Bombyx mori: one gene and its partners. The protein of the gene in region 4 purifies or fractionates together with the protein of the main gene of each other region. This does not show direct contact. Links are inferred from orthologs where the notes say so. Each region holds a gene or a part of one and is shown on either strand. Other genes may lie near its edges.

The links.
Region 1: the proteins of splicing factor 3B subunit 3 (region 4) and pre-mRNA-processing-splicing factor 8 fractionate together in Homo sapiens (co-fractionation; 4 studies listed by BioGRID, with this or other methods). This does not show direct contact. The link is inferred for Bombyx mori from reciprocal best matches to the Homo sapiens genes SF3B3 and PRPF8.
Region 2: the proteins of splicing factor 3B subunit 3 (region 4) and small nuclear ribonucleoprotein sm d2 fractionate together in Homo sapiens (co-fractionation; 4 studies listed by BioGRID and IntAct, with this or other methods). This does not show direct contact. The link is inferred for Bombyx mori from reciprocal best matches to the Homo sapiens genes SF3B3 and SNRPD2.
Region 3: the proteins of splicing factor 3B subunit 3 (region 4) and coiled-coil domain-containing protein 97 purify together in Homo sapiens (affinity purification with mass spectrometry; 3 studies listed by BioGRID and IntAct, counting the BioPlex papers as one, with this or other methods). This does not show direct contact. The link is inferred for Bombyx mori from reciprocal best matches to the Homo sapiens genes SF3B3 and CCDC97.
Region 5: the proteins of splicing factor 3B subunit 3 (region 4) and U2 small nuclear ribonucleoprotein auxiliary factor 2 purify together in Homo sapiens (affinity purification with mass spectrometry; 4 studies listed by BioGRID and IntAct, with this or other methods). This does not show direct contact. The link is inferred for Bombyx mori from reciprocal best matches to the Homo sapiens genes SF3B3 and U2AF2.
Region 6: the proteins of splicing factor 3B subunit 3 (region 4) and structural maintenance of chromosomes protein 1A fractionate together in Homo sapiens (co-fractionation; 3 studies listed by BioGRID, with this or other methods). This does not show direct contact. The link is inferred for Bombyx mori from reciprocal best matches to the Homo sapiens genes SF3B3 and SMC1A.
Region 7: the proteins of splicing factor 3B subunit 3 (region 4) and 14 kDa subunit splicing factor 3b fractionate together in Homo sapiens (co-fractionation; 5 studies listed by BioGRID and IntAct, with this or other methods). This does not show direct contact. The link is inferred for Bombyx mori from reciprocal best matches to the Homo sapiens genes SF3B3 and SF3B6.

The regions. Positions count from the first base shown.
Region 1 is NC_085114.1:12,602,751-12,606,935, reverse strand, and holds part of pre-mRNA-processing-splicing factor 8, read right to left. Parts: coding exon 4,165-4,185; intron 3,936-4,164; coding exon 3,744-3,935; intron 3,304-3,743; coding exon 3,109-3,303; intron 2,955-3,108; coding exon 2,783-2,954; intron 2,482-2,782; coding exon 2,368-2,481; intron 2,225-2,367; coding exon 2,051-2,224; intron 1,777-2,050; coding exon 1,583-1,776; intron 1,358-1,582; coding exon 1,142-1,357; intron 1,035-1,141; coding exon 869-1,034; intron 1-868. UniProt on the Homo sapiens protein: Plays a role in pre-mRNA splicing as core component of precatalytic, catalytic and postcatalytic spliceosomal complexes, both of the predominant U2-type spliceosome and the minor U12-type spliceosome.
Region 2 is NC_085132.1:3,761,612-3,765,290, forward strand, and holds small nuclear ribonucleoprotein sm d2, read right to left. Parts: upstream 2,068-3,679; 5' UTR 1,992-2,067; coding exon 1,990-1,991; intron 1,888-1,989; coding exon 1,635-1,887; intron 1,343-1,634; coding exon 1,238-1,342; 3' UTR 987-1,237; downstream 1-986. UniProt on the Homo sapiens protein: Plays a role in pre-mRNA splicing as a core component of the spliceosomal U1, U2, U4 and U5 small nuclear ribonucleoproteins (snRNPs), the building blocks of the spliceosome.
Region 3 is NC_085118.1:10,065,815-10,069,435, reverse strand, and holds coiled-coil domain-containing protein 97, read right to left. Parts: upstream 2,109-3,621; 5' UTR 2,027-2,108; coding exon 983-2,026; 3' UTR 914-982; downstream 1-913. UniProt on the Homo sapiens protein: May play a role pre-mRNA splicing through the association with the splicing factor SF3B complex which is involved in branch-site recognition.
Region 4 is NC_085117.1:14,807,782-14,811,966, forward strand, and holds the end of splicing factor 3B subunit 3, read right to left. Parts: intron 3,927-4,185; coding exon 3,722-3,926; intron 3,541-3,721; coding exon 3,401-3,540; intron 3,044-3,400; coding exon 2,817-3,043; intron 2,630-2,816; coding exon 2,179-2,629; intron 1,758-2,178; coding exon 1,483-1,757; intron 581-1,482; coding exon 440-580; 3' UTR 369-439; downstream 1-368. UniProt on the Homo sapiens protein: Component of the 17S U2 SnRNP complex of the spliceosome, a large ribonucleoprotein complex that removes introns from transcribed pre-mRNAs.
Region 5 is NC_085123.1:10,727,207-10,731,986, reverse strand, and holds the start of U2 small nuclear ribonucleoprotein auxiliary factor 2, read right to left. Parts: upstream 3,017-4,780; 5' UTR 2,892-3,016; coding exon 2,876-2,891; intron 2,802-2,875; coding exon 2,229-2,801; intron 1,953-2,228; coding exon 1,870-1,952; intron 796-1,869; coding exon 673-795; intron 563-672; coding exon 475-562; intron 388-474; coding exon 234-387; intron 1-233. UniProt on the Homo sapiens protein: Plays a role in pre-mRNA splicing and 3'-end processing. By recruiting PRPF19 and the PRP19C/Prp19 complex/NTC/Nineteen complex to the RNA polymerase II C-terminal domain (CTD), and thereby pre-mRNA, may couple transcription to splicing.
Region 6 is NC_085114.1:15,703,645-15,708,534, forward strand, and holds the start of structural maintenance of chromosomes protein 1A, read right to left. Parts: upstream 3,141-4,890; 5' UTR 3,008-3,140; coding exon 2,896-3,007; intron 2,551-2,895; coding exon 2,430-2,550; intron 2,008-2,429; coding exon 1,908-2,007; intron 1,156-1,907; coding exon 1,007-1,155; intron 722-1,006; coding exon 553-721; intron 1-552. UniProt on the Homo sapiens protein: Involved in chromosome cohesion during cell cycle and in DNA repair. Central component of cohesin complex. The cohesin complex is required for the cohesion of sister chromatids after DNA replication.
Region 7 is NC_085111.1:9,664,491-9,667,959, reverse strand, and holds the end of 14 kDa subunit splicing factor 3b, read left to right. Parts: intron 1-2,149; coding exon 2,150-2,381; 3' UTR 2,382-2,590; downstream 2,591-3,469.

The DNA of each region.
Region 1 (4,185 bases), on a different chromosome or scaffold from region 4:
TCTAGGGAGGCATCTTCTTGATACTTTTGTATTGCTTTACTTGCTCTAGCTTTGTGATCCCCGTATGCAGTTTTAACATCCTCTGGAATATTTGCACCTTCATTTACTTTATGTGTCGTAGTAGGTTGCAATTTTGGAAAACAAAAAACCTTGACAATAATAAAACACACTGAAGCGTACTTACATTTCACCATGTTGTTCTTTTAAAGCATTCAAGATCAATTTCGACCTATAAAACTGATTTTTACTCATTTTATAGACAAAAACACGAACAACGTGCAACGATTTTCTCACTTACTAAAGTTTCGCGGGAGTTTTGACGTTTATTTCAACCATTTCATTGCCTTAGTATCTGCATGAACCATTTTAAATCCAAGTAACTACAAGCACTTATTAGGTTTTTAAAATGGTTGATGTTATATACTATGTTCTAATCTTGTAATTTTTGCATTTTGAAAACCTTTACTGTAGATACTAGGTTTCCGACTTTGTGTAACTTCGTTTTTTACAAATTTTTGGGGGTTTTTGCTATCCTAATATGTGGAGAATGGTCTACAAGGTCGAAAAATGCAAAAACACACTTTTTTTTAAATTTGTCAGATACTAGGTTTTGAAATTGGACAGCCGAGATGTCTTGTATTTTTTGTTGCCATCATTTGTAGATAAGTAACATAGTCTCCTTGAAGGGGATCAGTGTCGTTAGTGGACACATGACCATGTGATGGCTGTACATTCTTTAATAATGTTGATTTTAAAACAAATTATTGAAAAGAATTGAAATATCCCATATATTTTACATATTTAGGGATAATCACAACAGTGTGGCCTGGTTTCACTGGTAGCTCATAAGGTAAAATTTATAAGTTACCTGTGCCCTTAAATCGGAAATGGTAACGAATTTCTTAAGTAGGTTCTTCGGCAGAATGTAGGTGTATCCGCTTTCCTTGATGTCATCGGAACTCACGTAAATATGATTTGTACGAAGATGTAAATTGGTGGCTGATATCGCACGGACACGCCATTCAGTCTTAGAGCTGCGAAAAACCATCCAAATTAAAACATGCCCCATACAATTAGTGGAAGATCATATAATCATAGCCATAAAAGTAATGTGAAAGAAAGAATTCCTAAAAAGTCTCACCTAAACGTCTGCGACTCATAATTGCTCGTCGTTGAGGTTATAATTTCATCTCCATGTTTGTTTACAGTACGCGTTGTGGTCGCGGTAAGTTGACTCTGTTCTTTACTCTGCTTTTCGATCTCGGCAATTTGTTGACGCTGTGCAGAGGGTGCAGATATCTCCATACCAAGAATGATGTCACGGATTTCCGATTGTGTGAGCGACGCCACATTTACACTGTTAGTAAAATCGTGTTAAAAGTTAATGTATTTTAATGTAGTTATGAATACTGCTAAAGTATTAAGGCTCCTGGTTACAAGATAAAATAGTAATTAAAAAAATTAATATATTGTTTTAAATTTTCAAAAACACTTAATGGGCATTTATCTGATCATTTATTTTACGAATTTGTAGTAGTATTTATGTACAATAAAGAGATTTATATTATTATTGAAAACTCACTTGTTCTTCTTTCCATAATCAGCTAATATTAGGTCCTTCAGTTGAACCTCAACTTTGATCCAATCATCATCAGTTAAAGTGGGCCAAATGTGGTGAGGTTCCGTGAAAGTGGTTTTATCAGGTTTCAAGAGGACCTTTGTGCGTTCTGTGTTCACGTGCAAAGCACGGAGTATCAGGATAAGCCGACTGAAGGCCTAGGTGTTAACAAATTATAATATTTAACAATTTTTCTTCAATTATTATTTTCACTTTTATTCAGTGTATATTGTTTAAATCAGTTAGCGTATTTTCAGACAGACAGAGCTACAGTACATTGCGATCAGCAAGTCCATAGTCACTGTTAGCCCCCAGAGCACAGGGACTCTCTGGTTTCAGGACCCCTACGCAATTCATCATTTTGATTATAAGATATGTTCATTATAAAATATTGAAATGTATTTATTTATCTTTTGAAGAAACATAACTTACAGTATATGAAGATATAGTCTTTAGCCAGTCATCATATAAGTTGAACAAGACCATTTGAGGCTCAGTTGCCTTCAATATGAGGTCACCAAACTTTTCCACTTTCAAACAAGCCTGGAATGGCAGCTGCAGTTCGGAACCCTTGATTACAATGTTAGGAAAGTCGAGTAAATGGACCTGTGGATGTTTAATGGATTGTTTAAAGTTTTTCACAGTATATTTTACATATTTGTATTGTATGAATGAGTTTATTTGATATTTATTAAAGTTAGTATGATATTTTGATTAATAAAACAAACTTCAGATATTATCTTATTTACCTCAAGTGGATCCAACATTCCTTTTCTGGTAACAATAATTTGTTTTGGTTGTTCTTCAACTGGCAGTGATCGAATTAAGGCAGCTACTTCTTCTGCAGTCTTCCATTTAGCAAGCTAAAAACCAAAGTTTTGTTTTCTAGCAGTTATCTAACATTTACGAAATTTTCAGGATATTTGGTATGAATTATTTCAATGCAACATGCATATGAATATTTAATGAATGAATCAACATACATATTCTACTCATTATCATATTCCAGAAAGAAAAAAAAACACAAAACCAGCCACATTTAAGATCATAAGTAAAATAGATGATTAGAATGAAATATATAAGTTTAATTCGAATTTAGTAGGTGATTTTAATGGGGATCATATTCTAGCCTCTTCTTTCTATTAACAAAAGTAAAAAACAAACCTGTCCAAGACGTTTCTGCCCTGCCCATACACTAGTATGAATTATTTTAAGGAATAGCTGTCCAGTTCGGGGATTGAATATAAAAATGGCTCCATTGATGGGTTTAGTTGTCAAGTTTCCTTCAAAGGTTTTGTGAATTGTTACACGATACACATTCGTGTCATCAACGAACCTGTTCATAAAATAAAATTAATGTGATCAGAAAAGAATAAATTTAATGTTTGTTATGTTACGTTTCGAAAAAAAAAAGTTATATGTACATAAAAATCTTGTTCAAAATTGATAGTCGAAATAAATATACATTTTTTATATATAAATATACGCACCAAATGATTTGATTAGAGAACAATTCTCCATAGTTCTGACTGGAGAGGTAAGGTTCAGTAGGTTCTGAAGAATACAATTGCAGTGCTTTACGTATACGTTCCCTAAGCACATACAAGGCAGGATTAGCTTTCATTATCTTGGCCATCGCTTGTTGAATAAGAGGTTTGCAACCGGGGAACCAGTTACCGTATGCACTGTAAAAAAATTGTTATTTTTATAACTTTGTTGATTATACTAAAATACAAACTGATCTAATTCTGAAACTCAATACCATCAGGTAATACAATAATTTGTATTTGTTTACTACAATAATGACACTTATTTAAACTATTTTAGAACTTCTCAAGTAAACTTCAATGAGTATTAAATATTTTGTCTAGAAATTACTATCGAAAATGATTGATTTGGTAAAATTTTCATTATTTATTTTGTGTCAAACTATAATTCAGAAATATGGCTCTGCCGCATTTTGAAAGACTGTGCTGGCCTTCTCAAAGAGGTTCGGAGACATATTCATTCAGATCAGGTAAGACATGAAGAGCATCTTGGCTATAAAAAGACAATTGTATGAATTCTTGATGTGATTCCTAATATATTATATAAATTTAAAATCTTTAGGATTACTTTCTCTTACCTGTGCAAGTTATAGGCCAAATCAATGGCGATCAGCAAACCGGTAGGTGAAGGATATATAGACATGTTGTCTGTAGTGTAATCCAAGAATTTAGCACGAGCATATCTTTCGATGTCGTGAGAATCGTAATCACCCCAACGAAGCTGTATATCAAGCCAGTACTTTTGTGTAGTTGTATTGTCCATTGTGTCCCTGTGGATTAATACAATTTAAGTAATAAAAAAAATGCTTCTACACTATGTGTATTCTAATAAAATATCACACCAAGAAAACTGTAGGCTTGTATTCTATTTATTCATTCAATTCTACTCAATACAAATAACTTTAATTTGTAAAATATGTTTACATTATTCTATAAAAAATTTCAATGAAATATCATAGCTATAGTTTCATTAAACATCAAAATTCATTGAATATTTACTTTGTATCGGCTAATAAGGAT
Region 2 (3,679 bases), on a different chromosome or scaffold from region 4:
ATTTTTAACAGTACAACTGCTGCCCCGCCCTTCAAACCGGAACGCATAACTGCTTCACGGCAGAAATAGGCAGTGGTGGTACCTACATGTGGACTCACAAGACGTTCTACCACCACCAGGAAAAAATATCTTACATTAATTTCTCTTTCGCACTACACACACCACAGGAAGTATATCTACCTGCTGTTGCAGTTGTATTCCAACATACTCACTTTGATTTAGATTTCATAGCTTTGAGACATATAGTTGTCTATTATACATAGTTGTCTATTATAAAAACAGACAGTATAACAAACAGACAGTAATAACAGTAATTTTATTATAGTTTCATTTTTGAAAGTTCCATGAAGTTCTTCCCTTATTGTGAAGACCTTTGCATATATTCAGTTCTAATTTTATTACCACATTGAACACCAGACTAGAAATCATGTTTAGTCCAGTGGAATGGTGGACACCCTGTAACAACCATTTACTTAGGTCTATGACGACACTGTCTGCCATTTGAAATATCTCAGAAAACAATACTTAGTCACTGTTTCCATACCTCACTCATTACTTTTGAGTAATTTCTTGAGAATATTTTTGAAAAAACACTACATTTTTTTACCCTAGGGGAAAGTATGCTGTGGACTCATAGTGTCTGTCATGAAACCAACATGTTAACAAAATATTGGACTGGACTGCACAGCTTAATCCCATGATGTACATCAGATCTAATTTGCACAAATTAATAAGGGGCTATGAAAAAAATCATATTAAAAACACACTTTTACACTTTGGTTTATTATAGAAATTATAAACTTATTGACAGGTTTGTGGACTTCTTGACCATTGTAATTTTGCCATGTTTCTTTAAAAATGTTAAAGCATCTATATTTTACAAAATTGTTAGTTACTACTTGCACCAAAAGTAAGTATCTTTTTTTCAATTTTGGTATGTTCAGCCACTAATATGAAGTTATTTTATGCTAATATTAACAACAATACTGGTGAGACTCTTTTAATGCATCATTATAATAACTGATCGTTTTTAGCTTTATCTTACAATATGTGAACTTGATACAATTTCAATATATTAAAATATCGAGTTTGTTTATTTATTACATATAGTTGCAGAATCATAGAACTAACACAGTTTCCAATTTTGTAAAAGTATTATTACAGTTTAAGGAATGAACCAGTAAAGCTATTCATTTCCTGAATATTTTATTCATTAATACTTAAACTAATTACTGCATTACTTCCCTGCAGCTGTAGCAAGAGGATTCCTTAGTACTAAGATCACAGAATCACCGCGGAGGAACATTTTGGAGATGAATTTGTCCTTGTTTACAGCTTTGCCCTGAAAATAAAACCAGAAGTTATACGTATTTTGAATTTGAAGAGTTTTAATGAAATGAGCTAACACAGAATGTTTCATATCCACATAATTGTCATCTTGGGAATTTCCAGTGGTTTGTATTTTATCTCCGCTAATATTGGCCTAAAATACGCGACATCATGTCTTATTGTGTACTTTTCAAGTTGGAGCTGTAGCACTTTTATACATGAGCGCTTGGGAGTGGTTCCTATTTCCAATACATAACCTCAAATTTCTGAATCAATTGAACTGAAATACAGTAACATCTGTTTACCTTCTTTCCTTTGCCAGTTCTCGGTACCTCAGTCCACATTTCCTTAACATTCTCCAATACCATGTTACAATGCCGGTCGAAAGCCTTCACTCTACCCAGGAGTTTCTTATTGTTACGGCAATTTATCAGAACTTGTGTGTTGTTCTTTACTGACTGCGTGAGCACGGAAAGAGGTCCGGTACTAAACTCTTCCTCTTCGATTTTAGATAGCTCTTCTAGGGTCATTTCAGAGCGTGGCTTAGTTGTTGACGTCCTATAATAAGGTTAACATTAGAGTTATTGTTGACCATTACCGGCTAAGCAGATAATATGTTAAATATATTGTTAAAACTACGTAAATCATATTAATACTTACATTTTGTATTATTTTATGGGCTTGTGAACTGAGAAATTGAGTGAAAAAGATTACAATTACAGCAAAACTATCGTACACACGCTAAGTCGACGCTTTATTTTGTCTATGGTGACTCTGCTTTTTAATTCAACAATTTTTTGTAAGGAATTTTGTGACCTGGTAACTAAGACTTGTAAGTCATGTCTTATTTTAATTTATATTCTTAATTTTATGAAAAATGATAATATGGAGTGAAATGAAAATGATTAATTTGGGACATTAATCGACTGGGATGAAATAAAATGAAATGAGATGATATGGGATGAAATATAATATAATCTCAGTAAAATGGTGGTCATTTACTGAGATCTTTTCAGTGGACTTTTTGGAGGATCCCGAGAAGTTACATCCAGCGGCTTTGTTTCATTTTCCCACATTTGTACACTTTCACAGATAATACACAGTTAATAAACCACCGTTATTACACATTTCAACCTGAAGAAACACTAAATAAATAGACAAAATAAAACAAATCACACAACTTCACTCCTCGCGTTCCCGCCAAAAAGTATTATTTCAACAAACAATTATGGCCACTAAATGTCAGTTTTTAACTCGACACTGACATTGATGAAATCGTAAAAAGACGGTGGTAATACTGAAATTAAAGTTAACGAAGAGTTTCGAAAGGAGACTGCACGTCAAAATGGATCGTGAAACCCTTTCAAGATTTATTGAAAGTTATAAGTTCCACATTTTTGTGGAATGTCTCAAGCGCAGACTATATGAATAAACCAAAAATAATAAACGTATTACAATTTTTAGGCCCATTTTAGGGGAAGCTGCAAGGATTGATAGCGTGCGTAAAAAATGATATTAATTATTTGAGTATACTCTGCACGTTTAAAAAAATCATCCAAAACCTCTTGCTATTTTTTGCCTCTCTTCTGCTGCTGCTGACAACATCAGAAGGACTCCCATTTTTGGCGTTTTGATAAAGCAGCTGGCATTTTAACTTAAAACCCTCATTTAATTCGTTCGATTTATTCTGTTCGCGCTTGATACATCCAGCACTGCGGTCTTGAGCTGACGTACAGCCGTGACGGATCGTGAATAAAGCGCTAAATGCATCGTGCATCGTGCATGGCCTTGGCGGGACGTACAGCAAGATGGATCGTGAATAAGGCGCTTAAGGAAATTTTAAAATACAAAGTCATGATCATATAATCAGCAATTTTGTATATGCCATGCTTATTTTATGTTAACGAACTTCATATTCAATTAAATTTCTTTATTTCATTACCGTATTAAAGAAAAGGAAAATAAATGAAAGCGATTTCAGTATATTTTATTGTTTAAGGAACTCTTAAAATCGATTTTTGTCTGTTTGTCAGTGCGTTCGAGCCGGTAAGTCTCCACAGCAGCTGAACCATTAGGAGATGTTCTCTTATCCGAACGCGACGCGGCAACGCAAAGCCACCGTCGCTCGAAACATGTCTTGTGAGATCCCCCGGATTCACTCTCCGTGCTTTAGGCCTCTCAATCACCGGCTACCCTCCTTATCGAACTCGTCGATCACTAGCAAATTCACCCATAGACGGAGATCACCGAGTTTCTCGTTGGGTCTTCACAGTGGGTCGCGATTCCAACCCATGTGCTTAGTGCGAGTTTTTTAACGTTCTCGATAAAGTAAAGTAAACTCAAATTTGTA
Region 3 (3,621 bases), on a different chromosome or scaffold from region 4:
TGATATGATAAATTCTTATCCTTTAGGCCCGAACAATTGTTTTTATTGCGCTTATTGACAGATGAGCATATGACTATACGAGGTTTTAAAAAAAACTGTCTTGTGTCATAACATTATATGGGAGCCCACATGTCTTAGATTTTGGCCCTATGATTCATAAATGTTGGAATTAAGTTATTTCATGAGGGAAATATTACAGGCAAAAAAAAAGAGAGCCAATCTGCCATTCAGATCAAACTTACCAGAGCCACGTTAATTTAATTCATTTCTGTGGATGACACACTATTGTCAATGAAATTGTAAAGGTGGGTAGTGGCATTCCCGTTGTAACATCTTTGGATTCCAGTAACCACTCAACACTAGGTGCCCTGCTTCACATGAACACAATAAATATTCCTAACCTATCTTGTTGATCATAAGTACTAGCCATTCCTATGTGCTTCTGCTATTTTACGCAGGCAAGTTGCTGTCAACCAAAAACTCTTACCTAAGCTTACTGCAATGAAAATAAAAATTTTTGTTCAGTACAAATAACAAAGTAATATAAAAAATAGTCTTTATTCAAAATTAAAGACAGACCGATCTGATTTTTTTCTGTATTTTAATACTATCACTTTTTATTGCGAATTATTTTTTTCATTCTAATGCTTGTGACTTCAAAGGTACATCGCTTGGTCACTACCTACTGCTGAGGATTCTTTTCAAACCTCATTTAAAGAAATATATGTTATAGTGCTCAGAAGAGTCCAAAATTGGATGGTACACAACAAAAAAGTATGTGAAAATAGTGTGGATGAGCAGTGTTTTGCATCTTATGAAATAATCTCTCATCTCATTTTTTACTAGTTGAACTTAGACAGAAACTTTAACTGATAATAATGTTGATGGTTTATGAGAAAAGAAAAGACATTGGTTGGGAAATTAACCTAAAGATTATAATTACTTTAATATTATTGAACTTTTCATATTAGTAAACAATCATTTAATTCAGTTGAAACTTCTTAGATATATGCTCCATAAACACATCAAGAGGGTCATCTTTTTCAAGATTATTTATTTTACTTTGACCATATTCCTCTACAAGGTGCATGTGTTCTTCTAAGTTCTCAACATCATTTGTTTCAGAATCAAAATATTTATCTTCTGCATCTTGTGACTCCTGCTCTAAATCATCATACTGCTCATCATTATCAATAGTTTTATAATCAATGTCAATATCATTACCATCTATAAAGCTGCTATACATTTCTTGAAGGAACTCATCATACAATAACTTCTTTTCTGGAGCACTAATAACTCTGTGTTTTCTGTTTTCTGGAATATAGTCAGGTTTCGTATCTGGGGTAGTGAATTCACCCCATTTTCTTTTGTGTTGAAAATTTATGTTTTCATTAGTACTATCATTCAAAGAAAATTCAGAAGCTTCTGGTGTTTCATGAATACCTTCTTCGAGCATTTGCACATTCTTCACCTCTCTCATGTGGTTGTGATCTACAGTTTCCAATATTAAGTTAAGAAAACTGGCGTTTTCAGTTATTCGATCTCTTTCTTTTATTTCTTCATCTGTTAAATATTGCCCAACCAACTGTTCATATAAAAGAGGATTTCTGTACATCATTTGTTTTTCACTAAAATAATCAGTTTTAATCTTCATTTTTTGTAATGCCTTATATCTTCTGTTCTTTATCCTCTTGCGTCTGCTTGTTTCCGAATGATAGTCACTCAAATAGTGCACGTAATTCCTAAATGTTTGATCTTTGGAGCTAGAGATATTTTCAAAGTATTTTATGTGATTAGGAGCTAAATATTTTCCGAATTGCATGAGGAATTCTACAGGTGATCTTTTATAAATTTCAAGGGCCATTTGCAGTTTCTCACATGTCCTTACCGGTTGTTCATTAGCATGGGAATTCTTAAAGGATATATTTGCACTTCTTACTAGGTAGTCAATGATATCAGTTACAGGATTCACTTCACTTTCGTTGAATTTATTTTTTAAATTAATGTTGATTTTTTCCATTGTCATAACAATAAATCTCTAGTAATAATTATTTATGTAGAGCATAATAGTAGTAGTTTGTAGTTTTATTTTTCCAACTGGAAAGGCAAAAGTGTTACACCATAAAGCCAAATCTTAGATATTATATATATAGCACAAGCTATTTAGTATTTGTAACATAATAGGTTGGGAGAAAAGTTTCTTCGCATTTTGTAAGAAAATTCACAACATTTTTTAATATAGGAAAATAGTTTATTTACATTTAACTAAAGTATGCAAGTACCATTTTGTTCGATAACTTTTTGCCATCTTGTAGGTAGAGACATGATCCCATTACTATAGAAAGGACAATGCCCAAAAGTGGGCCAACTTTATGTCAAAACTATTTGTACTTGAAAAACTATGTCTTATTTTTTCACGTTGTTTAGTTTATGTATCAACATTTCTTTCACCCTGGCATTGTTTTACAAAAAAATAAATTACTTATTTGATAACATCCCAAAACTAAGTGCCATGGTTTTTAAATTCGTCAATAGGCAAAGGGTTTAGCCCATACAGCCTTATAGTAAACCTTTTAGTAAAGTATATACTGCCAAACGAAAGAGTTGTCTGTGACTTGAACAATAAATTAAAAAAAATTGCTAATGGTTATAATTCACAGACTTTTAAGTTTATTTTTGTTCAATTCTATATTTATATATTGTAATAATAATTATTACTTAAAACCATGAATTATTTAATATTTTTAGATGTTAATGATTCCATTAGTAAAAATCTCAATGGCCTACCATTACTCTATTCTTATTTTAAATGATCAGAGTTTTGGCAGCAACCCGAGTTAAGCGTCACTTGAAGTTTTATTTTAATGTTTTTTTAATAGTTTATTGTGATGTATAATATATAAATGGGTGTTGTTTTGTGTATTAAATGTCAATAATCGTTGTTCACGATGGTTGGGACATTGGAATAAAACTGTGGCTAACATAACTGTCTTTTTTTCAAGATAAAAGGTCTGCGGAAATTCACGCTCACTCAATGTGCTATTCATCGAGTTGACGTCAAAACTTCCAAAAAGCAATAAAAAGAGATACACCGGCTTTTTAATGACATAAAAAAAATATAACTACGACAGACTAGCGTGTATAAGCCACGCTCTTTGCCTGCTTATTCATACATGCTATAATGCGATAATACTTTTTCCCCAACCTATTAGATAATACTGTCTGTTTTTACTAATCTGTCTTATTTTTTATTTGCTATTATGTTGACTTTTTGGCGGGAAAGCGAGGAGTGAAGCTGTGTGATTTGTTTTATTTTGTCTTTTTAGTGTTTCTTCAGGTTTAAATGTGTAATAACGGTGGTTTATTAGCTGTTTAATATCTGTGAAAGTGCACAAATGTGGGAAAATGAAACAAAGCCGCTGGACATAACTTCTCGGGATCCTCCATAAAGTCCACTGAAAAAAATGTTAGTAAATGACAACCACTTTTCTGAGATTATATTTCATCCTATATCATCTCATTTCATTTCATTTAATTTCATCCCAGTTGATTAATGTCTCAAATTAATAATCTTCATTTCATTTTATTTCACTCGATGTTATCATTTTCATAAAAATAAGA
Region 4 (4,185 bases):
GACACTCGCAAAAATCATAGGTAGGTAGGCACCACCTACCTAATTTGCGACCTAATTACCGATGATATTGGGAGCTCTCACAAGGATAGGTATTACACTATCACTATGCGTATCTCTGCCGTGGTGCAGCAGTTGTATTACAAAACGGAGACTTCAAGGTTGGGTAGCGAGATTTTATGTTGATATCTATGGGCTTCGATAATTCCTACTTAACATAGTGAACTCTTAAATTGAAGAAATCAACATTGTAACAACATTGATGATTAAATCATTTAAATTAAAAAAAAATATATTTTTTCCGTTTTGGTTTACACCAGACCATAAAAGTCGATACTTTCTGGACAAAAAAGGTTTTAGTAATGAAATGCTTGTGTTGAACCTTATCGCAATATTTTATTTTTATATTAATAGAAAAACTTATTAACTAATTTATAATTAATTAGAACGCATATCTAGTTCGAATGTCTTCAAGTTTTTTTGATACTTCAGCGGGAGTACGTTCCAAATCACCTGCGATGGCTTTTTGTTTTCCAGGGTCTAGGGAGTTAAACTGTTCACATAGATCTCCGTCAATCACATTCTGCAACAAAACAAATATCGCGATTTTTAATTGGCATATCAGAAATTGGACTGTAAGTAAATGAATGCAGTAATAAAGTGTTGAAACAGTTTATTTTTGAGCTTATTCCTTTCCAGGGCAAGAATAAAAAATTGTGCTTAGATGGGTGGTCGAGCTCACAGCCCACGTAGTATTAAGTGGTTACTGGAGCCCAGACATTACAACGTGAATGCCGCCACCCACTGATTTATGAGTTCTAAGGTCTCAGTATAGTTGCAACGGCTGCCCCACCCTTCAAACCGAAACGCATTACTGCTTCACGGCAGGAATAAGGCAAGGTGGTGGTACCTACCCGTGCGGACTCACAAGAGGTCCTACCACCTGTTATGCGAAATATCTTATGCGTGGGTTTGTTTTCCTTTCTAATCTGAATCTATACTAATATTATAAAGAGGAAAGATTTGTTTGTTTGTTTGTTTCGAATAGGCTCCGAAACTACTGGACCGATTTGAAAAAATCTTTTTCCATTAGAAGCCGACATTGTCCCTGATGAACATAGGCTACTTTTTTAATTTTTATTTTTTTTATTTTTTTGGTTTCATGTGTGTTTTAATGTTTCCGAAGCGAAGCGAGGGCGGGTCGCTAGTATTAGATAAAGTTGAACTGTTCATTCTAAAAACTACAGATAAGCTGATAACAGCGAACCCGACTCTCAAGAATGCAGCATCCGATCGCAAGGCGGCGTCACCATAACGGCAGATCGCACGTCGTGCATAACTCGTCAGCCTTGCTATACCAACAGTGTAACACAAATGTCTTCAGAATGAAGACATCTGCTGACTGACTGTCGGAATGTAATTTAAAATTTACTAAATTTATAAAAACGTCAATATTTTCCAATAATGCAACAAGTGAGTACATACCTTTACTGGGTAGTAATAACTTCTAAAAGATAAATGGTCACGCCCACATAATGGTGAATTTTCACTTCTCATATGCATCTCTAGATGTTGAAAGAAGTCATGATCTTCTCTTGATGTAAACGGTAGTAGAACGCCAAGAGACCCACTAATTGTTGCATATAGTAGTGCTTCAGAACCACCAGGAATTAATGTTGCTCTCTGTAGAGAGGTTACAGTTTCACCAACATGAAAATTGACCACAACATCTCCCTTTTGTGAAGCACCATTAAGTAAACCTGAAACCAATAAAGTTTATCTAAACATTACTTCTAAATTAATTTTATTTATGAATAAAGAACTTTAAAATGTACTCAGATTTTAAGTAGAATCATAAAAATTCATTAGTCTAGCATGTGAATATTTCTGTATCATCATTTGAAATTAGAATATATTTTATGGCCAGAATTTACTTCAGAATACTTCTTATTCTACCTTACTTCCATTAAATGGAAGTAAGGTAGAATAAGAATACTATCTTGCATATTATAGGAATGATGTATTCTGGTAAGAAAACCATTGATCGAGACATCCACAACTTCAAGATAAATGGTGGATTTTCCTAGCATCAATGAGTAAATAGGTGTAGTTTTTACATTAAATGTTAGCTTTGGCATTAAAAAAAGTTAAATAGTCTGCATATTAATTCACAGAACTAACCTCTGTCCCAAAGTGCTTTGTTTCCAGTAGGATCTTCATCAACATCATCACTTACAGATTGTGGTAACCGCATTATAGCCACATTACCAAATTTGTCAGATACTGCTATAGTGTCATAATCAAGAATACAGCTATTTGTTATCCATCTAGGATTGGTATCATCAGCAAAAATAATTAATTGATTCTCTCTTTTCTTATGCTTGACACAAAATACAGATTCTTGGACATCAGAAACAAAAATTCTCTGTCCAATCGTTTTTATATCTGCTATTAAATTTGGAATATGTCTATTTTCACATTTACGTAGGAGTTTTCGTCGTCCAATATCATATAATCTTAACATGCGTCCAACACCAGCTAGTAGTCTACCATTAAATGCTGCTATAGCACCAGGATATTCATCTACTGGAGTTTTGTGAACAAGTTCTAATTTTCCAGTGTTGCCATATATCTGAAAAACAGAATTCAAAGGTTTACATTTTGTAATATATGATAGCTAGCTTTTAATTTTTTTCTATAACCTCAGATCTGGTTAAGTGTTCGTCAAAAATCTTCAGATGAAACACGGAGCGATATAATTTTACATCATTGGAAAATCTTTTGTATTGTGTAAATTTCATTATTCGTTTTTAAGTTACCTTATAAACATGTAGACTGCCTTCAGTGCAAGAACGAGGAGACAGTATCAAATCCTTTGCAACACCAACCACAAGATGTGGTTGTGCATGTTCAGCATGTGCAGCCCATCTTACTATGCACAAAGAAACAGCTGCTTCGTTTTGCTCCAGTGGAAGTCTAAATAATGTATTGGGTTGACCCCCACCAATACCCATGTCAACAACACGAATTAGAGATGCCCACATGCCTGAAATAATGTTTTTTTTTACTATTTTGTGGTTAACCTTTTAATCATTTTAACAATGATCAATTATTATTTTCTTAATGTTTCCCATACTTGAATCAAATGATTAATGTTAGATCATTTGGGATTAATGTAGGGAATTTTATGTAGCCACATCCGATTAGAGACAGACTACTTTTATGTAGACTACTCTTGCCCAGAGAATGTGGCTATATATGAAAGCATGCATGGTTCTTTGTATAAAAAACTTGCAAGGGCCAAATTTTTAATGCATAATTTAGCAAGATAATTATTTTCTGGTTTGTTTATTGTGTAGTGTAAATTTAACCATAATATATCAGAGAAACAAAAGAAAGTTACCTGCTCCAGCTTTAGGTGAAGAAAAAATGTATTCAGGCAAAGTATCAGATAGAAAAGCATCTGCCATTTCATTTGCTAGTTGCTGTTCTTCAGGAGCACCTCCAGCAGCAGCTTCACGCATTTCTTGGGCCATTTGAATTCTACAATATATTAAATGTATTATAATATATAACCAAATAAAGTCTTATTTATTTTTTATAATTAATAGTTAATTCAGTACTGCAGGAGATTTCCACATTAATTTCAGGTTTGTGTGTCTTTGTTTCATCATTTAAATTGTCAAGTGTAAATTAAAATTAAAATCTGTCAAGAAAAAAATACCTTCTGTGTTTTTTCATTTCCTCTGTGTAGGCATTGTGATCAGTTTCTAAAACTATAATGTGATTGTTGTCAGAATTTATTATAAACTTTCTTGGTGTGTATTCTAAAGGGACAAATGTTTGATTGAATACAGCTCCCAATTTTTCTAAAGCCAAAATTCTCAGAGTGTTGGAAGATATGGCTACAATGCCTTCAGTACATTGTTCTGAAACACAAATGCAGTTTGTTTTTAATTTAAATTTTATTTATTAAAATATAATATTTACTTATTTAATATTTATATGTCCACGGCATGGTTTTGCCGCCTTCACAGTCGAAGTGACTCCAGCTTGGCTATGGAATATGCCGAGTGCCACCCTCTACCACAAGGGGAAGGCGACATGCTCTACGACGTTGTGGGCTCATCACTGTATGAGACAGCTACACACCACTCTTGCTTGGCTTCACCTGCAAAGGTAAGGCCA
Region 5 (4,780 bases), on a different chromosome or scaffold from region 4:
ATTTATTTTTATTACATTATGAAGAATAATGTGTTATGAAAAACGAAATGCTTTATACACTGCTAAAACTAATATGAAATCTGAATTGTTACTTTACTTATTGGAACTGAGGTACCAATATGAAGATTTAATTTTATATTCTTGTTCTGATTTTGAACATTTTTAGATGAAGTTTAAGTGTGCATTTCATGTATTAGTGCTTGTGTGTGTGACATGTACAAAATGTTACTTACTTTATATCTTCAAGGATATCTTCATACTCCTCTTCATCACGCAATTCATCAGGTGTTACCATGTTAAGAAGGCACAATACTTCAGTAGGTGGACCTGCTCCAGCCAAGGTCAAACCTGCCACTTGGATTTGCACTGGAGCTGCACCGGTCAGTGCTGAAAAGTATCCCATTTCTATTTAAAATCTTTTATAATTTCTATTCTAAAACTAAAACATAGGTCATATTCTGTATTAAAATTTACCTAAAGTTGAATTCTTTGCGCCTATACTGGCACGTTGCACAATCAACTTTTTATCTCCAAGTTGCATTCCATTTAAACCTGCAATAGCCTGTGAAAATAAAATTAATTTATGATTTAAAGTTTTTTTAAAAATTAAATTGGCCTTAACTATGCAAAAGCCAATAAATTAATAAATTGGGTGACATAATGATTATTTACCTGATCTGTCATAGAAATGTCGACATATTCAGCAAAAGCATAGCCTTTGCTCAACCCAGTTGAAGAGTCTTTCACCAAATTGAAGGCCCGGAGTTGACCAAATGACATGAGTAATTCCTTTACCTGTTTCATGACAAAATTAGTGAGCAAATAATAATCTTTTAATTCCCAGCATTGTATTAATTTACGTTACATATTCATAATGATCAGCATAGACATTTCTAATGCTAATGTTTTTTGTATTGTATGTTTGAATTGTTGTGTTCCCATTAAATCTGTTCATCAAAATGCAGCAAATTACATAAGTGAATTATGCTATCTGACCTGTGTCTAGCCGCATGTTAGAATCAGATGTGAATGGAAGAGACTTGCCTTGAAGTGCCGATGTCTCGTTCAAGTACAAGACGTATAGATGAGAATGAGAGACAACAGTGACACGCGGGCCGCGAATGTGCCAAATCTAAGCTAGGGAGGGCAGAAAGCAAACTATATCAGTGAGTTGTTTGAGAACATCCGAGCGTGGTACGCACACGCTCGTCCACGCTACGGGTACCTGAAAATACCTGAAACGGACCAAAACATAACGCGGCTCACTGCTGGCGTCACCGGGGCCTAAGTCCTGTCAACTGTTGAATCTCGGCCTGAAATTGTTGCGGCATCTAGTACGCTATAACTACCTACTGGGAACGAACAAACTCATGGTTCTTTTAATGTCCTAACATTACCTAAAGTAGGATTTTGAAATAACTATTATAGTCCAAAATACTTGAATTTGTCGATCTAAGAGAATTCTATGTTTATCATAACCAACATAATTATTATTTCCATTTTGTCTGGTCAAAACCTGTAACACACAACTCTACAAATCACAATGAGAGAAGAATGTTGTATAATATAACCATTTTTTTATTATCAAAAGGTTTCTTTTAGTGGGAAACATAAATCAACCATAATTTATGTGAATTGAGTTTTCATTTGGTTTAAAAATAAAAACTTTTTGGTAAGTAGTACTTATAAATAATAGCTTAATTTGATCACATCAAAAATACAGAAAATAAGTACCTCTACTTTAATCCAAAAACCATGTGTAGCTTTAAAAAACTCCAAACTTGATTTTGATCATGATGTGATTAAATTATGGTTTCTTGAATGCTTAATTTCAACTATAAATTTTAATAGATAAAACAAGGAACTTACTTGGTCCTCATTTAGATAATTAGGCAATCCCCCTATAAAGATCTTGTGTGGGGAATCAGGTACAACAGTGCTAATAACACCAGCTGTAACAAAATAATATTTGAATGAAGACACTAGTAATGAGTATTTTAGTTGTAATTAATGCTGTTTCAAGAGTTTAAAAAGAGCTGTAGAATTATAACAACAAAATTCAGTTTATTTTAAATATTGCATTTTCTTAATAAAAAATAGCACTTTCAATCGAGTTCAAGACTCATTACTTGATAGATAAATCTATAGTATCTTCTAATGTAGTTTAAATGTATTTTTATAAGAAAAGTTGTTTGTAATAACAATATCACAATATCATAATTACTTACCAGGCACATTTATTGCTGGGTTTTCAGTGCCTGGCATAGGCTGGTAGTCATGTGGACGTCGAATCTTTAAGCTTTGCCCTTTAAAATTAATACCGTCAAAAGCCATTGCCTGTGTCGTTTCATCAATTGATCTGAATTCAAGGAATGCAAAATTTTTATCTAAATTAATCTGGCAAGCCAAAACAGGGTTGCCGGCGGCCTGGGCCAGGCCCGATAGATGCATTTGTTGATTGAAAAACTCCATTGTTTCTTCTTCGGTGACGCCAAAGGGTATGTTGCCGACATATAACCTTCGCGCTTGACGTGTTATAGTCGAACCCACCACCGGCACGGCAGCTTGTGGTGTGTCGGCGACAATATTGGCAGGAATCTGACCCGCCGCTTGCATCGCCTTGTATTGTAATGGCGTGATATGCTCGAATCCCGGCGGCGGTACATCCCAGTAAAGCGAAGGCTTACGTCTACGTGAACGTTTATTGGGCGATCTTGATCTGCTTTTTCTTTTTTCTCTTCGTTCTCTAGATCGAGATCTAGAACGTTTTCTTTCTCGGGATCGAGACCTTCGTCGGCGGTCTGTAATATTTGTGAGCATTTTATTTTATAACCTCACTTCAAAACTTTACAAGATAGATATGTGAACTACTTACCTTTATCTTCCCCCATCTTATTTACGGAAATATGTAATACAGTAACTATTTCTTGAGATAGTAATAAAGGCGCTTCAGCGTTATTAGTATAATTAGCGTTGGCATCAACATAAAATCTAAGTCAGTTTCCGTGAAATGGCGTCTGTTATTTTTTTATACGGACGTTGGTTACTCGACTTTTGGCTAATGATGCTATAGTGAATTTCCTGATACGTAATCATCACTAAAATCCTATGCTTGCCCTAGGACAAATTTCGGACGCGAACGCAGAACTGGTGTTTCCTCAAGTATAAATGTGTAATAATGATAGCTAATTAATCATTGATGTGCCTTTGGAAAACATACAGCATTGTATTATGAAGAAGCAGTGTGTACTTAGCTTAGATTCCTTGTCTATGTCCAACCATAGACAGTCAATTTAGTTCCATCTTTAGCCGCTAGGTGCTGCCAGCAAGTATAAAGGGAGCGCAGCCATCTTTGATCTTCATAGCGTTGTGTACTTTCGTACTGTGAAGTCGCAAGTCCACAAATATTTATTCGACTTCTTATTAATTGCAAAAAATATTTATTTTGTGTTTCTATGAGTGTTATTTTGCAATCATTACGAGTATTATTTACCAATCCTATCATCGGACGCCATGAATCACGCGTCATCTGTTGGAGGTGATGTTGAGTCAAGCTCCATAATTTCCGAGAGGGAAGATGTCCAGGCGAGACGCGATGGAGACGCCTCGCGTTCGAACAGCTCGTCAAGCGAAAAAGAACAAAAGGAGTCTCTGCGTAAGAAACGACGGGATTCAAAGGTAACGGTCGATCTTCGAATCGGCTCGTTATCCCACCAGGTCAGTGACGTTGTAAATCTAATAATGCATCAACTGTGTGTAACAATTGAATGTAACGAAAATTGTTGTAAACAAATTGATCTCGTCAATACGGAAATTTTGACAAAAACACAACAGATTTAAACTAATAATCTTTGTAACATAATTACTGAAAACTTTGACAAATCGTCTCCGTCGTACAAGTTACCCGTAAAAAGCGTTTTAAATTGTATACGGAAAAAAGGGCCGTATGTATAGAAATAAGACGTCAAAGTTTAATTTCCGTGGTCTCTAACAAAGTATCCTGTTGCCAACGCGCCACTCATTGAGGAATTTTTGTTTGATAATAGTAAATTGAAATCTATTCAGTCCCTCGGAGGGCTACAATCCTATTTGTCACGATCTCGTACAAAAGGTAAGCCAAACATTATAAACAATCATAGTCCGTAACATCTGGCACAATCCAGAGGGGGGCAATTGAAGACACCGACGGCACTGAGGCACTGAGTGCCACCAAAATTGTAATAATTTGTAAACCATGTATGGTTACCAAATACCGTAAAAAAAAAAAAAAAAACAACAAAAAAAAAAAAAAAAAAAAAAAAAAAACTACCTTTTTCTGCGGAAGAAAAGCGACGGATCAATGCGTCCAATTTTCGATCTTCGAGAGTTGAACAAGGTCGTAAAGATAAAACACCTGTTTTCGGACACCTAGGTACCAAACTTTCTCCACCCAGGGGACTGGATGATAGAATTGAACATTTCTCAGGAATATTTTTCTAGTATCAGTCGCAAAATTTCGTCGATACTTCTTGAGGATCAGTACCAAGGTACCAGTTCAGTACCTCCAGGAAGGAATCGGTACCTTCTTATGAGTTAGTATGAAATGACATGCCTACCCTTCGGTCTGGCTTCAGAGCCACACCTTTTTGCTTTTATAACATGCGGGTCGCAGAGACCTTGCGTGCAAAGGGAACTCGAGTGCTAGTGTCTACTAGACGACTTCCTTTTTGGTCGACCAAGACAAATCCAAGTTGAAACTTCAGGCTGCAGAAGCTGTGAAGCTTTTGGATTAACCTTTTTT
Region 6 (4,890 bases), on a different chromosome or scaffold from region 4:
ACTGGGGCAAAGTCACCATCTGAACGAGATACATGGACAACAAAAGGGCCAGAGTCAGTTTCAGAGTAATTAAGAACTGAATTGTTATCAAAACCTGGCCGGGTGTAGGTATGTTGATTAGAGGCAGCTGCCGGTAAATGTGGAGCTGATCTTTTTTCTGGGACGCTTAATACGTCTTCCGCAGGGCGTTTTTGTGAAGCTTTTACAGGAGAATTAAGTATTAGAGAAAGATCGTCCATCTCTGAATCTAAAGAAGACCTCCCTCTGTCCGGCGGGACATTTTCGCCCACCGAGGACGACATTGACATAAAAAATACACTTACCAGTTAAATGAAACTTAAACTAATCCACCACCAACAAAAATAGGGCAACACAATTCTTAAAAACACAGAAAAAACGGGAAAAACACTAAAAATAATCGAAACGCGTGTGATCTCGAGGTTGGTATAATTATAGTTTAATTCATTGCTGTTTTCATTAAAATATACTCACAAACATGATTGCAATGCTTCCACATTTTTGTAATATGTAGTTTAATAGTTTAATTCTCACCAATTCTTGCTTAAGTCTTGTGTATTTCTCCGCTTCTTCCTTCTCAAACTTTGCTTCTTTCCTCTCAGCTGCCACTCCCTTCTTTTTCTGATAGGAGAATTGAGCCTCCTCATCAGCTCGGTTTACTTCAGCACGGCAAGCTTCATACTGTTCCTTTAACACTCCAGACCTACATATTAAATATTATATGTAATTAAATAAAACATATACTGCTACTAGTGTAGAGGATGCAGAATTTACTGTATGGTCGGGTGGTACCAGTGGATGGTAGTATGCAATTTTTTATTTCCTCTAATTGTATTGTTTGATTTGAGTGAGGGAGCAAATAAGTTTGTATTGAAACTTTGATTAAAACATGTCTTTTAGGTAATCTTTTATCTATTGTAAAAGACTAACGAAGTTTGTGATATAAATTATGATCATGATGGTGACAACACTTAGAAAAATATGTTACCCGCTGATCTCCTCAAACAGAGTAGTCCTTTCTTTAGGATTCTTCATGGCAATGCTCTCGACGGCACCCTGGAAGACTAGGAAGTTCTTGGCTTTCACATTGATGCCCAATTTCTCTAGTTCACCAAGATAGTTACTTACTGATACAGACTGTTAAAAAAAGGATTCATTTATTTCATACACATAGCACATCTGATCAGATGTGAATATACTGTACATATGGGAGTGCTGGTATGCCTGAACATGAAGTTGCTTTGCAATAAAAAGCCAATCAGGTGATGTCCATAACCTATGATTTCATATTACAAAGAGAGCTTCACTTCAGATTAGTTTCATCATCTTTTTTTTTAGGTTAAATAAGGCTAAGGCACAGGCTCAGGGCTTATCTAGTGTGAAGTATCTAGAAATCATATTCATCACAACCATTCTGGTTTACCATTGCTTTAATCACTTGAGACATTCTACTGGTTTTCATTTCTACTGGTGGTAGGACCACTTGTGAGTCCGCGCGGGTGGGTACCATCACCCTGCCTATTTCTGCCGTGAAGCAGTAATGCGTTTCGGTTTGAAGTGTGGGGCAACTGTTGTAACTACCAAGGTGGGTGGCGCATTTACGTTGTGGATGTCTATGGGCTCCAGTAACCACTTAACACCAGGTGGGCTGTCAGCTCGTCCATCCATCTAAGCAATAAAAAAAAAAACATAAAATTAAAGTCATATTATAGGGCTGTCCCCCTTTCAAATGAGAGAGCATGGCTGCTTCGTGGCAAAAATAAGCAATGAGAAGCCTAATACATGGTGGCCCACCCTTCACCTGCATTCTATGGGGTAGATCACCAGTAATCCTTGTTATTCAACTTAACATAAAACAGGAACTTGTTACAAAAATCACAATCTTTTACCTGGCCATCAATTTTATGTTCAGACGATTGTCCAATCACTGATCTCTGGAAATGTTTCTCAGTCATGTCTTCCAGAACAAACGTTGCCGTAACAGATGCACTGGAATAAATTCATGGTTAAATGGATCAAGACATTAACATTTTTAACTATACTGAGACCTTGGAACTGATATCTCAAGGTGGGTGGCAGCATTTACGCTGTACATGTCTATGGGCTCTGGTAACCACTTCACACCAGGTGGGCCGTGTGCTCGTCCACCCACCTAAGCAATGAAAAAAGAAAAAGTAACCTATATTGAGAAATCAATTATTATTCAGAGTAGTTGGGTAGTCTTTCTATAAATTGTGATTTATTAATTGAAAATTATTAAATTAAAAAAATTCTATCTTATAATTGTTCATACAACACAGAAGTCTACAGCACAAGTTTGGTTTAAAATAATTATTCTAAAAAATATAACTTTTGAACATTTTGAAAAAAATATACAATGATCTTGTTATCAAGTGGAAAGAAGAATTCACCTTCGAGAAACAGGTTTGTTGATTGAAGCACCATGGATCAAGTCACTCAACCTCTTCACACGCAACAATGATGTCTTCTCACCCATCACAAAGCTCACAGCGTCCATGAAGTTGGACTTTCCTTTTAAGAAATGTAAATTTTAAGTTATTTGTTATAACAGTGGTCTAATGGATTTTTTTTTACAATTTCACAAAAAAGCAGTATTAACAAAGAAGTTCCCTCGTAATTGTTTTTAGCAAAGCAGGAAACTTGTTCTTTTAATTGGTGACAATACTACTATTCATAAAGCAACTTCTGTTTGTTGGAAAAGCGAGGGAAACGTTTTGAACACGACGCCTTAATGTATTTCAATTTTTGTTGAAAATGAAATCGGTGTTCGCTCTATAGCATGAAAATAATAATATTAAGAAACGGTTAAAAGATAGACTATGGGAAAAATGTAAGGTTTTCTTAGGTCATTAGTACCTGATCCATTAGGGCCAACAACAGCGGTAAAAGACTTCAGAGGACCTATGCGGTGATGTCCTCTATAGGTCTTGAAATTTTCCATATCGATATATTTAAGAAACGCAGGCATCTTGATTAAGACTAACTCCCATGCAATACTGTAATGCTTTTAATTCACAACACAAATTAACAAGCGCCAAACATAATCACGAATTGTTTGTACAAATGTCAAAGTGAAACTCAATTTGACACTAGCTTATTTGACAGTATTAGTTTTCCATTTTTCCAACATGAACAGCGAGGGTATCACACAATACAGCGTAATTTTTACATAATATATTTCCCATTTAAATGAAAGTGAATATTATGTAGTGAAAAATGATTTGAATGAAATGAAATGAAGTTGATTTATTTGAAATCGTAATCAATTGGGATGATATTAAGTGAAACTAGATAATGTGAATAAGTTCTCAATAAAATGGTGGCTATTTTATAAGACTGCAGTAGACTTTTTGGAAGAACCCAAAAGCCTTGTTCAGTAACGTCCAGCAGCTTTTCGGTTTTGTTTCATTTTCTAACATTTATGCACTAAGCAAATAATAAACCACCGCTATTACACGTTTAAACCTGAAGAAACCCGACATTAACAAAATAAAACAATTGCCACAGCTTTGCTTTTCGCGTGCCTGCCAAAAAAGGACTACACGAACGTTTTATTGAGTAATAAAACGTTAAAAAGATATATTGCAAGACACTGGCATATATTGCTGAGATCATGGACTGATTGCCAGAAAATATACATTTTGTAGATAGACTTATTCTAAATAATAAAATGTATTAAAAATTAAGTTATAGTTAAGTATTTTGACGCCTATAATTCCATATAACGTGTTGCAATTGATGTGACAATAAAAACCAGCAGCGTAACGACAAGTTCTTTTATTTGTGCAAGAATGCAGAAAAGTAGTTAGAAATGGCTGGCACGGCTTGTTTTATTAACACTATCCCCCCTTCGTTGGCTTTGGCTGGCGGCGGTGGCGGTGGCTGTGGCGGAAGGGGCGTGTTAATATGGCTTGGCGGCTTGGCTGGCGGCAGGGCATGACAGCTGACGTCACGTCCGTTACATTCGGCCATCCTGCAACAATTGCTCCCGCAATGGGGAACACACAAAAACATTTAGTTCTCAAATAAATCAATAAGGTCTTCAGTTTCGAGCTGCTCATCGGAACTACTAGCGCTATCGGACACATGGGCTATACTTTTATAGGGCTTTAATGAATCTGTTGATACCAGGCCAGTGAAGTTTTTATAACTTCGTAAACCTTTTAGATATACTTCTAATTCGATAACAATTGTTACCTACTACTTTAGTTACTACATACGGACCTGAGGACAAATCGTCTAATTTGGTATTAATCCTAGCGGCGCTACTAACCAGTTGGCGCCTGTCTCTAAGATACAAAATGCCTTTTCTTATAAACATGAGCTTTTTTTTTTATATTAATGTTGTGTGTCATTATTGTACTCGCTTGTTTTATCCTAGCTGCAGCTATCTTACGCCGTGCGTCAACAGTTTCTGGTTCGAGACCAGGAATCGAAACATCACATATTGACCTACCAGAGCGCACAAAGATTAAATCGCAAGGCTTGTAGCCGCTGTTACTTTTAATTGTGTTGTTTGTGCCTCAATTGACGGAGTTCGCTAAATTATTTGAAGCTTCACTAGGATCAGTTGCCCGCAACACATAAAATTGTATGTTTAGTTTGTTCAATTAGCGCGCGGACAAGCAATACCGTTTAACGTATGCCTAAACTGTTTATCTTCTGATATATTTTTTTAAAGTACCTACTCGTAAAAGCTTTCCCGTAGTCTGTCACCACGTGATTCGGGTATCTGGACAAACCCTATTAATATATTTTTCAATGCACGAATGGTCCCGATTGAATTTACAGTACGCGTTAGTTCAGCTATCACAAATTTAGACAACGCATCTTTCATTACGATCATGTACT
Region 7 (3,469 bases), on a different chromosome or scaffold from region 4:
AAATTTTCTTCCAACTGCCACTAAAACTGCGCTTGCACAGTCTTTACTTCTTCCAATTCTTGACTACGCTGATTCCAGCTATCCGGATCTAACCGAAACACAACTTGATAAACTTGAGCGGCTACAAAATTTCTGCATAAGATTCATATTTGGGTTACGGAAATATGATCATATATCTGAATTTCGCACTAAGCTCAAGTGGTTACCAATTCGCCTTCGCCGCAATACTCATGTCCTTTCATTACTATACTGTACTCTCTTTAACCCCCATACCCCTACATATCTCAAAGAACGTTTCGAGTTCCTAGGTGATACGCATAATTTTTCTCTGAGATCATCAGATAACCTGAGACTGAAAATGCCGGTGCATTCATCATCATTCTTTGACAATTCATTCACCGTCCAGGCGGTTCGATTGTGGAATGCTCTGCCGGATGCAGTGAGAAGTGCTCCAACTTTAAACTGTTTTAAAAGAATGGTGAAGGAACACTACATAACTGCTTAGTGCTGTTTGTTGCATCATTATCATTTATAATTTCCATACTGTTGATTTAATAAGTGTGTGTAAATATATTAGTATGTATTGTATGTAAGTATGTATATTGGTATATATTATATTATGTAAACGGTATATATCTGTTTATTATATGTATATATTTTCTATAATAATGTATTGTATATGGTACACCGCACCTGCTATATTTTTTATATTTTACAGAATTTCTGTAAATTAAACGGTTGTCTGGAAGAGATCGCTTTTAGCGATAAGACCGCCTATTGTACATATGTGCTTTTTGACTGTTTGTTTTTTTAAAATGTAAATTGTGTTGGTGTGCAATAAAGTGTATTCTCTCTCTCTCTCTCTCTAAATAAGTCCACTGACGACAGGATATCAAGCGGTTAATGAAGCTCCTCTACTCACAGGGCATTCCTTTAACACCGTAGGTCTTAGGTCAAAGTCCCTGTAGAACTGGAGTAATCTCCTGTGATACTTTTCAAAACATATTTTATGAGTGATTTGATGCAGAAATGGACAGGAAATAGTCGTATATAACCATACAGATGCATAACACAACACACAATAGATTTACGTTGATAGCACTAAAGAAAATTCCCCCATTTGTCGTAGTCGAAGTTTGTCGAGTCGAATACTCAATTCTATTGTATAAAATCAGAATGTATAATTATCTGATGTTTAGATTCAGATACCATTGGTAGTTTCTACTTGTGAGAGCTCACAGCAATAAAGCATATTTATTTTATTTTCTTTTATCACAGTATGTTAATAGTGAATTGTGAAATTTGCTTGTGAGCATAGGCTCTATGTAATTATACTTAGACAAATTGCTAGAATTTTTTTAGTTGTAAACTTGTAAAGCTATGAAAACTCATTTTATGAAATACACTATTATTGAACCCTCTCTATTGATAAAGCACATGATGTACCTTCTATCAAGTGAAACATTCAAATTGGTCTTTGAATACTGCAGACACTTACTACTTTTTGTAAGGAAATACATATTTCATACTTGTTAATGAAATAAATTCAATGATGAAAGAATAACATTTTATATAAAAAGGAAACCTGCAAAATTTATAAATATTCATAATTACTGGTGGAATTGTAAGCCTTAACAGGCAGAAAGCATCCTGCATATTTTTCTGAACAGATTGTACTTTGAATGGTAAAATTGCTAGTTTTAACAACTAACTTTTCAAGCTTATGTCTGGTGTGTAGCAGCATTCAGATTGTTGACTTTGGGCTGTGTTAACCATTTTCCACCAGGTGGATTCTGAGCTCATTTTAAAATCTAAGCAATAGATAATGAGATTTAAAATATTTAGTTGTGAAAGACTGGAACTCTTTTATCAATAATTTCTATTAAATGACCAAAAATATCATAGTAAAATTTGTCTGGCTATTTAAATTAAGAATAAGTAAGTCATAGTAATGAAGTGTGATTATGTTAATTAATGATATGATTTCTTTCTACTTGTTTGGTGTAGTACTTGTGGTACTTTCTACTACCTTATTTGGTGTATGTGTGTCAAATTTGAGCATTTGGTCATAAAATTGACATTTGATTTACTTTATATTAACCTAATAAGAAAAATATTTTTAAAGCAATCATTTGATTTTCAATTTCAGAGGGAACACTCCAGAAACAAGAGGCACAGCATTTGTTGTTTATGAAGATATATTTGATGCAAAAAATGCCTGTGACCATCTATCTGGTTTTAATGTTTGTAACAGGTATCTGGTTGTACTCTACTATAGATCCAACAAAGCCTTTAAAGGTATTGATATTGATAAGAAACAAGAAGAAATTGATACATTGAAAAAGAAATATGGAATATCTAGTGAAGATCTGCGTAAATGATAAACTATAAAATATAAGTTTTTTTTAAGTACAATTGTTTTTAATTATTTGATTTGTATAGCTGTGTAGATTTTAAGCCAGAGAACCTATAAAAATCTTATCATTAAATAATAATGTACCAACGCGCTTTCGTAATGTCTTCCATGATAAAAACCATAATTTTTTGATTTAGCTTTTAATTCTAATCGAAGTAAATCCTGTAGAATTTATTAACTTGCGTATTATTGGTTGGACAGGTTGAAAGACCAGGTACTGGTACTTGGTCTCAACCTGTCCTTTCTGCGCGAGAGTCACGTTCTTCCTTACACTAGGCATCATCCTCAGAGGGATGATATTCAGTCTCTACATTAAGTCAATACGCGACTAGGCTGCGTTCTTACACGGTCGATTCTACCCCATGATCTGTAACGAAGTAAATTGTCCTATCGTAACAAGGATACACTATGCGACTTACATCACGCGGCTTGCTTGTATATAAACCCTCCAGGTCATCCAATCCCATTACTGCAGGATAGCTATCGCAGCGTCATGGTACGTGAGGAATCTCGACCTTCACGACGATCTAAATTTAGAATCGGTACGTAAGTAGTAAAGCAGCGTCAGAATGCTACTTCGACAAAGCGGCACGATACAATAACCCTATTATCGTGGTCGCCGCGCATTACATATGTACCGACCCAGGTCGACGGAGCAAAGCAAATCCGTCGTCGTCCGAAACATTTCTTGTCGGATCCTTCGGATCTACTTTCGGTGCTTTTAGGCACTTGAAGCACCGGTCACCGTCCTCGTCCAAGTCGTCGATTACAACGAGTGAACTAACCAAAAGACAGCCCATCGAGTTTTTCGCCTGATCTTCTCAGTGAATAGATTCCATGAAGCACTGCCCTTGTTAGGGCTGTTGGCAAATTCTCTCAAGTTAGGCCCGTAATCTCACCGTCCGCGCGAAGCGGGAATAGCCCCTTAGGCTATCAGCAAACAGGTAGGAAAAAGAATAAAATTTTACAGGATTGGGCAGGCCTATTATTAGTAAAATGAAATTGCCGATTTGTACTGAAAAGTTGAAATATTTTTTTTCATTGAAAATTTTT